Linked DNA regions of Nothobranchius furzeri. The protein of the gene in region 3 purifies or fractionates together with the protein of the main gene of each other region. This does not show direct contact. Links are inferred from orthologs where the notes say so. Each region holds a gene or a part of one and is shown on either strand. Other genes may lie near its edges.

Region 1 (3,652 bases), on a different chromosome or scaffold from region 3:
ACACCTCTCAGACTGAACTCTTATTCTCCCGAACACGTGGTCACAAAAACTAAAGTTTTCAGGCTGCAGCTGCCCTCTGGTCCTCTCCACGAGAGTTTCGTCCTCTCTCCGTTTAGGAGATACTCGTTTAAGTAAAAGAAAACTGTGACCACGTGAGTTAGCGAGGAGAGGCTCAGGCAGCAGCTGCAGTCAAACGTCCAACAGAACATCTGGTTGCATAGGCTTCACCCGCAGCAGTCACCACTTCCTGTTCATTCTCGCAGCCATCTGAACCATCCTCCAGGGTCAGATCTGCCTTTGGTGATGGGTCAGCCTGGACCAACGCGGCCACCTTAAATGTTGGCGGGCTGGCTGAAGTGGCCGTGGCTCCTGGGCTGGATTCTGTCTCCTCAAGGGAACTTCGTGTTTGGGCTTTACGGGGGACGGGGGCGGGTTTGGGCTCAGCCGGTCTCAGAGCGAGTCCACGTGGTTCATGTTATTAGATCTGTTGTGGATTTCCTCAAGGAAGTTCTCCAGCTGCTCAATCAGAACGCGTTTCTTGAACCTTTGAAGAGAGGAAAAACAAAAGTCCTCCTTCAGTCACGGGTGAATAAACTTTCATATATTCTGACTTTTCCACGACGCGTTGTTCAATCTGTTCCATGTTTGCAGCTAGATATCGTTTTATTTTTTGACGAGGCGATGGCCATAGACATTAAATACGTCATCCTCTGCGAGCTTGCCAGAGAGCCCGCGTGTTTCGTATCTCCATAACAACGCAGACAGAGAAGTATAATCTAGGCTTTAGCGTCTGACGCGCTCCAGCTCCGTAGGAGGGAGGGACAAACATGTAGGAGGAGTCCTTAAAGATGGAAAATGTGTGACGGTTTGCAGATTCACGAACCTCCATGACTGGAGTCATTAAACGCTGCTTCGACTAGCGGTTAGCTCTTCAGTCCTGCTCTGTGACTCCAATTATGAAAATCATTTATTTATTTTACATAAACTAAAGCATCATTTATCAGTGTCTATGACCACATTCTTGTTTTTACCTGACGACGGTGCATCGCTGATAGTTTTAGGCAGAATATTTAAATTTTAACTGCGATGCACTAAAGAGCAAAACCATTGACTACACGTGTGTGCAGCACAATCACACTCATTTATATAGTTTATCAGCAAAAAAAATGTTGATTTGGAGTAACTTGCTCTTTAAAGAGCAAGTTACTCCAAATCAACATTTTTTTCCAATAAACTATATAAATGCATGTCTAATCGTGCTGCACACACGTGTAGTCAATGGTTTTGCACTTTAGTGCATCGCAGTTAAAATTTAAATATTCTGCCTAAAACTATCAGCGATGCACCGTCGTCAGGTAAAAATTCTGCACTGCATTTGAATTTAAATCTGCCGTCGCTATTGGCTAAGAGGTGCACTATGATGTTAGATGGTACATCATGATGTCACAATGTCGTGTGTGTGTGTGTGTGTATTTGTTAGCGGCTCCACCCTCTCGGTCTGCTAGGCAACAGCATTTGTTGCATTTTTCAAACAGGAAGTGGGAGTGGAGTTAGACTCTGGTAGGGGTTGACTTGCTTTTTAAATAAAATATGCAGAGAAACAGAGCTGAAGCGGACTTCCGGCATTGCCATGGAAACACGTAAACACTGAATGCTAACTAAATAGCGCCAGCTACACGGTTATAATCAGGCAACTGGCGGTCTCTATTTTAGTTCTGATAACTTTGTGGTCCTCGTAGGCATGAATAAATATCTCTCAGTCTGGGAGAAGAACGAGGCTCAGCCTTTCCCTTTATCATTTATCTAGCATCGATTAACGGGGGCTGCCTCCGGAAGTGCGTGAGCCTCGCTTGCCGCGCCTCGCTTGAATTAGAGAGGACTGAATCCACCCGAGCATCGTTCGTGGAGCCGACAAAGTAAACAGGTGCGCCATGTCAAGCAGAGATTTATCAGGAAAGCCTCGATGTTCTGAACTCACCTTCTGTAACACCCCCCCCCCCAATCTTTTTGCTCGTAGCTCATAAAATCACAGCAAATAAGAATTCCGAGTACCTGGCCGCCTCTTTGATGATGTTTTGGAGGAAGATGAGCCGCGTGTCCAGAGTTCCCTGGATTTGCTTCAGGAGAAGAAATATCTTCTCGTAGTCTGAAACAAACCAAGCAGAAGGAACAAACATCAGCTTGTACAGGTCAGAGTTTCAGGATTATTTAATCTCCCAGGAAGTGACTCAAACATCAGATTAACAGAAGTCTCTGGTCTACACACGTCTGCCAGGTTTCCTGATCTCCTTGGTGATGAGTGTCCTCAGCTCGTTGTTGACTTTTGTCGTCTCGGTGTGAATGTGCTTCTTCAGGGCGGATGGTGAGAGGAAGCGGGGGGGCGGGTCCTCTATCAGAGCCCTTTCCACCCCTCCCTCGAGGCTGGGCAGCAGCTCGCCAGCACGCTGCTGCCCGCTCTCCTCCTCCTCCTCATCGTCGTCCATGTGCCGAAGGACCTGAGCCTCATCAGAAGTGTGGTTCTCCTGAAGGTCTGCTGGTCCTGTGTGGAGGTCCATCTCCAAGTCAGAGCTGCTGTCTGACCCATAGTGGTTCTGGTTTAGGTGGTTAATGATCAGGTCAGGAGAACCGTCATTTATGTCCGTTTCTATAAAGCAAGGGATTGGAGAGATGGTTTAATTTCTGTGGTCTACTTCTGGAAGTCGTCAGGGTAGATTCTGGTCCTACCTGATGAGTGCCGGGGACTGGCAGAGGGCGATACCGGAGGGGTGTAGGCCCGGCCCAGACGCAGCAGAGGGGACATGCAGCGACGTCTCTTTGGACCCCCACCCGGCATGTTGATGTTGTTGTCTCCAGGTCGCTTGCCTTTGTTCTGAGGACCGGTCACAAACTCGTCCGCCTCATCGATCATCATTCCCTGTGTGAAAAATCGGGTCAGCATCACCTTTCTGGATCCAAACATCCACTTTATTCCAGGCGAATAGGCAGGACGTACCTTCTTGTCCAGTTTAAAGGGGTTTCCGAACGTGTGCAAACGTTTGGGCTGCTCAGGATCTGCATCTCGAAGTGGCTGGGGGGCAGCTTTGAGGAAGTCTTGGTAGTTTCCCATCTGGGCGATTGGCACACTGTGGAGCTGGTCTGGACACGTGGCATCAACGATCGCTAGTGACTTTTTGTTTTTCAGAAAATAGCAAAAATAAGTGAGGTGCAGAGAGCCTTCTTACCAGAGTCCTGTCCTCTTAGAGTGCAGACGCTGGTGTTGAGCAGGTTTCTCCTCATTCGGCTAAGCTGGTCGAGGAGGTGGCTCCGAGGGATGTCGTAGGGATTCCTGAAGCTCTGCGGCTTCAAGCCCTGAGAGCAGAAGGTAAAACAGAGGATGTGAGAAGAAACTTCCACACAAGCTCACAAAAACATGCAAACATCTGAGATCCACCCTCCTCTCTGCAGATTTCAGGGACCCAACCCAGAGAACTTAAAGACCACCTTACAAACATCGGTGTGTTTATGCTTGACGCATTTACTTTCCGCTTGGTGATGCGGCTCGCGGATGGAACGCGCTTCACAACTTGCAGCGTTTATGGTTCATGCGGCTCGTCTCTGCGGTGAGCCAATATTCTCCCAAACTGTAGGGGGCAGCATAGAGCTCTATGGCATG
Region 2 (3,752 bases), on a different chromosome or scaffold from region 3:
AGGTGTCTTTTTTCCTGTTTGTGTGGCGAGATGGGCTGAGCCCACCCACCTGTGTGACCAGGTAACAAGTACGGGGGCCTGCAGCAGCCAAAAAATCCCTCAAAACTACCATGAATCTTTCGCTACGAACAAATACGAGTGAACACTCGGATTCCAGCAATGCTTGCTCTCACAACTCCATACGGCTTCATCAACGTACGTGCAACAGATGTGCTGACGTCATCTAATTGGAATGTCATGATTTGTTTTTGTGGTCAAGGAAAAATGATCAATGGGACACGAAATACGCGTGAAACACAACAAGCATGCCTGACTTTTGTGCTTCTTATGGATGCTCTAATAGACGATGTCTTCAGTCACGGCAACGTGTCATTCATACGATTTAACAATAACAAACATTCAACTGTGTTAGGCTGATAAGTCTCTGTCATCTGCTTTGCTTTTGAACTATTATTCATTCAGATAGTGTAAAAAAAACGCTCAGTGGGGTCAGCTCTGAGGAAGATCGCAGACACAATCAAAAGTGTCAGCAGGTAAAAAACCTTCCCCGTGTTTCAAAAAGAACCTAAAAAAGCGGTCAGAAGAAAAACACAAAAGATGTTTGTAGTCTTTAGAAAAACTGCTGGCTCATCAAATCCCCCTGATTAATAAATACAAGGAATTAATGCCACACTTACTAATCATGATTACTTTAGGTAGACAAACTGTAGTTCTTGTCTGATTTCTCACCTGACACCGTGTTGTTCTATAGGCTTATGTAAAGTATGAAGACAAGCACACTGTCCAGTTACATTAGTAATTGTAATTTCAGGATTTGTTGTGCGGCGAGCCATGACCAAGCTGTCCTGTGATGTCTGCCGTGCCAGCCTGGTGATGATGCTGCATCTGCCTGTGATGACCAGAGCTACATTTGCTGTCTCTGCAGAACAACGGGGTCTTGTGGTCCCATCTGAAGGTGCTGTGAGGGTCATCAGAGCAGCAGAGTGGGCAATTCGCCAGGCATCAGTGGGCAGACGATCACAGCCCATCAAACCACTGGAGGTCATCTACATCGTGCACAAGAGGATCGGGTCAGAGGATGTGTTTTTGCTCGGGGAGCTCATCAGTGAGACACCGTACGGAACTGAGTGTCACTCCCGTACACTGTTGACATCTGTTGTCTCCCTGTTCTTTAAGCTGAGGATGCACCACCTTGCAAGATTAGCCACTCGTAGCTTTCAGTGTGACAGCATGAGCCAGAAGCTCTCAAAAGCTGTCCTTTTCACAGGTCCGTAGGAAATCACAATGTGCTTTAGCATCTGTCTTAGATCTGTTATTTTTATAATCACAAACATGTATCATCTGTAATAAACAGGTTTTTCATAACTGTCAGTCCGTCATTCAGTCCACCAAGTTGCTGCATAAATAAACTTGAATTTAATTTAATTTAAACGTTTCATATAAAATCGGTCAATCAAATATTTACTGAAAAACAACTCACAAAGTTTATATTTAAAAACGTCACTGTGGTCGGGATGTTTACTTGGTTACGTACGAACGTGATGACGTAGACACATCGTATCCCAGCATGCAGCAGGAGGCCGTTGAGGCATCCAGCAGTTGGTAGTGAGAGGAGGTCCGAGGCAGCAGCGACTCCGCTCCGCTCACATATTTCCGACTCCATGTGAGATCAACTCAGACCTACATGCGACAGAAAGCATGCTGCTCGGGCGCCCGACGTGTTCCCGAAGCGGCTTCTGAGTCACCCGGCTTTCGTTTTGGAGGATTCCTCCCTCCATCTCCTGGATCGCACCGAACAGGCAATGACAACGGTCTCAGCAACCCCGCAGCAGATGAAGGACCGGCTGCTGCAGGCCATTGACAGTCAGAGCAATGTGAGCAATGCTAAAGCTAACGCTAGCTTGTTTGCCTATCAACATCCACGCAGCTGTTCGGGTGGCACGTCGCTGTTTATACAAACTACGCTGAAAGGTGCGCTCGGCCTCGACACGTCGGATGTCTCGGTGACAAAAAGGCTCGGGGCGAGTTGACAGCTAGCATGCCAGCTAATTTAGCAGCAGCGCTGCGTTGATTGGACGGATATCTGCCGTTATGTAGCCTGTTAGCTGCTAACGTAGCTTAACACCAAAGCAGATTTGGTATAAAGGAGCAATCCAGTCGTTGTTTTACGAAATCATCTCATCTAAAGAAAAGTTTAAGTTATCCCAAACAGCACAGTTTTAGTGAAAATGTTTTATTTAAACAATCACAAAGTTTAGGGAACCAAGTGGCTGGAATAGCGTTGAGGAAATGCTCCTTCCTTCTAAAGTAAGTTAAATGCTAACTACCCTGACTAGCTAACACAGGCAGGTCCACCGACTCGGGCTAGGGCTGACGCTGTCGACAAGATGCTCGGTTTGCTCCAAGTTCATAAACCTTTGCTGAGATGATTCCAGGTATTTTTGAGTGTCTCTGTGCCACATCAGCTTTGCAACATCGTTCGGTTTCTGGAGCTAAACATCCAGCTGAGTTTCTCCCGATGAACATGTTGTTTTCCACCCCGGAGTCAGGGAGCAGTTAGTCCAGATCTCTGGAGTTCCTGTTACTGTGGGAATGTGATTGGGTGGGATTGTCCAGTGTGATTACATTTTCATCCACAGACTACAGCTGTAAATCTAAATATTACTGCCACCAGTAGAAGCTGGGGGTTACTAACTGCTGGCATGTCCTTGTTGCAGATATGCAACATGGTGGTTGTATTGGAAGTGATCGCTTGTCTTGAGAAGTATCCGATTACCAAAGAAGCACTTGAGGTAAGAATGAACGTGTCATAGGCGGTTAATGCCTACAGAGGCTGTGGTGCCAAAATAGTTTTCACTTTTTAATTATTTATTTTCAGGAAACTCGACTTGGAAAACTGATTAATGATGTAAGGAGGAAAACCAAGGATGAAGACCTTGCAAGGCGTGCAAAGAAACTCCTGAGAAACTGGCAAAAACTGATTGAACCTGGGCCGGCTGTTTCAGCAAGTGTCCCGGGGTCTACCAATGGCAGTTCCCATCCCTGCAAAACCGATCCCTCTCCCCCTGACATTTCTGTATCGGGGAAAGCGGTCACAGAAGTCACAATCCGAAGTGATGCTCACAACACATACTCGCCTAAGGCTGAGAAGTCAAGTAACCGCAAGCGGCGGGCAGAGCACAGAGACAGTGGCGTGTACGTAACAGAAAAAATCTCCAGGTTGTCGGCGTTTGATGACTCTGTTTCTCCGCCACCCACCAACGGGACTGCTGGTGGTGCCGATGCGTTGGCCGACCAGGAGGTCGTTCCTTCTCCTGACAGGCCTCGGACAGACCACCTTGAAAATGACAAAGGAAACAGAATTCCAGTTAATGCTGTCAAGCCCCGTCCCAGCTCCCCTGGCATGGCCAAAGCACCTAGCACTTCCTCGTTGATTAAAGTTGCTGTGATGCAACAGCAAGCTAAACTGGAAGAAGGGGGCGGGGGCTATTACCCAGCGAGGAGTCCCCGCAGTCTCACTTCCAGTCCCAGGAGCCTAAAGCAAGACCCCGTTTCTAAGCGTTCAGCGTACGTAGCAAAGGGAACGCCGGTCCCCAGCCCATCTTCTAGAGACTCCCCCCTGTTCTTCTCCCAGCCTCTGTCCTCCCCAGCACCGGTGTCTCACAGTGAAAAACTTTCTTCTCTTCGGTCTTCAGTGCCCTCTGCTAATTCATCAGAGGTATTCTCTCATTGCTCTCCCCAAGATCTATCTG
Region 3 (3,752 bases):
TCCTCAGTGCTTATCCTGCTTGACTTATCTGAATTTGACACAGTCAACCGTGGCTTCTTTTTGTCCATACTCTCTAGCATGGGCATCACAGGGAAAGCACACTCCTGGTTTGAATCTTACCTGACTCGGACAATCTTCTGCTGTTTACCATCTTGCCACAGGAGTCCCCCAGGGCTCTTTACTAGGACCTCTTCTCTTTGCCACATACACCACCACATTGGGTGAGATCATTCGATCGCATGGCCTCTCCTACCACTGCTATGCTGACGACACCCAGCTCTATCTGTCATTCTCGTCCGGACGACCTCACAGTCTCTGTACAAATCTTGGACTGTCTTTCTGATATATCAAGATGGATGAAATCTCACCATCCCCAACTCAACCTCTCAAAAACTGAATTACTTGACATCCCAGCAAACCCATCCATACGACACAATATCTCAATGCAAAACGAGCCCCTATCTCTGGCTCCTTCACACACAATTTGAAATTTGGGTGTTGTGATTTATGACCAGCTGACCTTTAACTCATTACCTTCCGGTCGTTTCCTGATCAGTAAAGCCCTTCGCTGCCAGAGGTTTTCAGCGTTTTCACAGTTTTTTGAAAAGTCACCGAACGTTGCACTCTATGATGATGTCAACGCCCAAACTACCAAAACAAAGAGTAGACTCACCTCTTACATCTGGAATAATCTGCGTGTTTAGAGTGTTATCCATTTTTTCATAATCCGTTGTCGAATTGTGATCGGCAGAAGCTTTTCTGGATCGTGCCTCACTTTTTTTTTTACAGCAGCAGCCCAAAACGATCTCCTAACACATGGATTTTTTGCTTCCTGATCATGTGACGTGTGATGTACATGGATAAAGATCAGCTTTAGAGCTGGGATGTTTGTTCTCACGGTACGGGAGCTCGTTCCGACACCCACACAGTAAAAAAAAAAATACAAATGATGACTTTAGTCATCAATGGCAGGAAATGAGTTAAAGATCAAGTTGCCTCTGTCACTCGTTCATGCCGCTTCATGCTGTATAACATATAAAAGATCAGACCATATCTAACAAAATATGCCACCCAGCTCCTGGTTCAATCTACAGTCATCTCCAACCTCAACTACTGCAATGCCCTTCTAACTGGTCTTCCTGCCTGTACTGCGAGATCTCTTTGACCTTGTCCATTTTCAAGAAACTCCTGAAGACCCAGCTCGTCAGAGAGCATCTTCTAAGCTAGCACCCTCCCTGCACCCGTCCCCCACTCTACTGTCCACTCCTTATTCACTTCCCTTTACGATTCATTATGCTGCCTCACTGCCACCTAGGATTGACTGATTAGTGTTTGTTGTAAGCCTCAAGGGCAACCTGCTGGCTTCATTATTACTTGTAGGTCTTTTGGACAAAAGCGTCTGCTAAATACATGAACATAAACATACCTGTTTTGCTGAAGGCGTCATGCCCATCTGAACAACGATGATGGCTCGAGTGATATTCTCCTCCTGCATTCTCTGACAGTACATTTTAATGGTCTTGATCCCCACCTTGGGTTCCTCTGGTGGGACAAAAATGGACAAAAAAAAGATGAATTCATAACAATTTTCTTCAAATCAAACACGCTTCTCTGTTCCAAATGTAATCACCCAGTTACTTCTAGAAAAGACTGATGCACTGAGCAAAAGTCACAAAAGTCACCTGGTCTCCATTTCTGTTCAATCTCCCAGTTAAAATAAACATACCGGGAAAGAAAACAAACATCTGGTCAGTGGGATCATCATTGTGTGCCACCAGCACCGTGAGATCTGTTCGTCTGGGACGACCTTCGCTCGGTTTGTCTCCAAACTGACTCTTGAACTCCTCCAGAGTCTGGTCCAACTCGTCCTGGGTCACAAGGTAACCTCGATCATGGCACAGCTGAAGGAGGAAAACATCAGAGAAGGTATCAGAAAACTCATTTAATAAACATTAAAATTAAATAATTCGTCTGTTATTTTGTCGAACTTAAACACACTTATTTAAATTTTACAGAAACAATTGTTGCAGTCAGGTTAGAGCCGCTAGTCTTGCTTCGTACTTTGGTAAACTGCTTAAAATACCAGTGGAACAAGTGTTGAACAAGCTAGTGTTTAGCCAGGCTGTCATAATGTTAAAATAAGGAGTACACAAGTCAAATTTAACGGAACTTCAGTGATAAAAAATACATTCATTCATGTTGAGCTAACGAGCTAAAAGAGGCTAACAAGCTAAATAAAGAAAACATTCAAACCTAACGAACCTGCATGATGGTTTTGCGGATCTTCCAAAGTCTATATGTTTCCTCTTCATCATCCATGTCCTGCTAAATAAGCTGTGTGCACTAGATTTGGTCAGAAAATGATTTTTTTTTTGTTATCAATATCGCTCTTTAAGCGAACGCACGTTTCCCGATTGACTGACACAGGCTGATGACGTCAGAAAAGCTGACCTGAAGGGGTTTGCTCCTTCTCTGCTTTGCCGGTGTTCATGTGCTTTTTTATCTGACTAAAGACCAGGAATGGGGTTTTTCGCTTGGTTCAGAGACCTTCTAAAGTTATTGCGCCTCTAGCATTTGTTAACGACAGTGCCATCTTACAACGAGGCTTTTCCAGCAAATTAACTTCAAAGACGTCATCATAAACCAGCAATCACCGCCGCTGTTCTGTTAGTTAAATAAAGATTTTCGCCACTAGAGGGCAGATTTGTGTCCCCTGTTGGATAATTTTAATTACATCATGTCCCCATTATTTATCAGTATGGAAAGCATGCTGGAGTCAGACCATTTGTTCGTTCTTACACAATCAGACTAGATGCATCATTGTGGATCAGTACACGGAAATGTGTCAAGACTGTGTGCGCCACGAATCGTATCCTAAATGAACAAGGTGTGAAAAGTGGGTGTTGCTGTATTTAGTCTGATTGTGTAAGACCGAACACCCCAGCAATCTTTCTGTGCAGATAAATAATGGGGGCATGATCTAATCCATGTCCCAGATAAAGTAAATAATTTATCCAACACCCTCCTCCTTCGATTTGAACGTTAAAGCCATCAAATGGTGAAACTCTGTACGACCTCTAATTGATTGTATTAGATAGAGGGTGTTTGTTTCAGTGCGAGTGACGTGCTGTACATGCTGCTTCGTGAGTAAACTCCCCCTCTCGCACAGCGCGCCGTGACATGCGCCAGAGACTTAATGGTGCAGACTCCATGATTTCCGACAACAATGCTCAATACAACAACAACGACAACAGTGATGATGATGATGATGATGATGATGATAATAATAATAATAATAATAATAATAATAATAATAATAATAATAATAATTTTACCCTTGGCCCACCTAGTAGCCTACAACGGGGCGGAGTCACGTGCAGCTACAACGAACAACCGAACAACGCATGGATTTTCGACAGAAGTGACCTTTTCTATAACTAAATGAGGCCGTTATATGTTGTTTTGGGCTTGGGGGCTGTGGCGAGCAGCGGGACACTACTGGCCGTGATTTTGTATTTTGTTTTATCCACGGCAGCGGTAAAGTAAACCTCCGTGATACTTGGCTTGTTTTATAATGAGATTTAGAAGTTGTGTAACTGAATATGGCTGCTGTGACATCTGTGGTGCCCTTGCGGGCACGATTGCAGACAGTATTTACACAGGCAACGCACTTCAGGTTGTGTAAATGTTGAAAGTCACGATAGGACACCAGCATTCCTCTGCATCATCCCCACCCCCCTGTTGCGACAAGC

What was found.
Region 1: the proteins of polr2eb (region 3) and ints6 purify together in Homo sapiens (affinity purification with mass spectrometry; 3 studies listed by BioGRID and IntAct, with this or other methods). This does not show direct contact. The link is inferred for Nothobranchius furzeri from reciprocal best matches to the Homo sapiens genes POLR2E and INTS6.
Region 2: the proteins of polr2eb (region 3) and crsp7 purify together in Homo sapiens (affinity purification with mass spectrometry; 3 studies listed by BioGRID and IntAct, with this or other methods). This does not show direct contact. The link is inferred for Nothobranchius furzeri from reciprocal best matches to the Homo sapiens genes POLR2E and MED26.

The regions. Positions count from the first base shown.
Region 1 is NC_091754.1:31,110,536-31,114,187, reverse strand, and holds the end of ints6 (integrator complex subunit 6), read right to left. Parts: intron 3,349-3,652; coding exon 3,222-3,348; intron 3,136-3,221; coding exon 2,993-3,135; intron 2,915-2,992; coding exon 2,725-2,914; intron 2,645-2,724; coding exon 2,267-2,644; intron 2,147-2,266; coding exon 2,053-2,146; intron 545-2,052; coding exon 451-544; 3' UTR 237-450; downstream 1-236. UniProt on the Homo sapiens protein: Component of the integrator complex, a multiprotein complex that terminates RNA polymerase II (Pol II) transcription in the promoter-proximal region of genes.
Region 2 is NC_091751.1:71,980,695-71,984,446, forward strand, and holds the start of crsp7 (mediator of RNA polymerase II transcription subunit 26), read left to right. Parts: upstream 1-1,594; 5' UTR 1,595-1,802; coding exon 1,803-1,874; exon of another isoform or gene 1,875-1,971; intron 1,972-2,717; coding exon 2,718-2,792; intron 2,793-2,878; coding exon 2,879-3,752. UniProt on the Homo sapiens protein: Component of the Mediator complex, a coactivator involved in the regulated transcription of nearly all RNA polymerase II-dependent genes.
Region 3 is NC_091748.1:48,494,466-48,498,217, reverse strand, and holds the start of polr2eb (DNA-directed RNA polymerases I, II, and III subunit RPABC1), read right to left. Parts: upstream 2,723-3,752; 5' UTR 2,320-2,722; coding exon 2,263-2,319; intron 1,902-2,262; coding exon 1,727-1,901; intron 1,543-1,726; coding exon 1,427-1,542; intron 1-1,426. UniProt on the Homo sapiens protein: DNA-dependent RNA polymerase catalyzes the transcription of DNA into RNA using the four ribonucleoside triphosphates as substrates.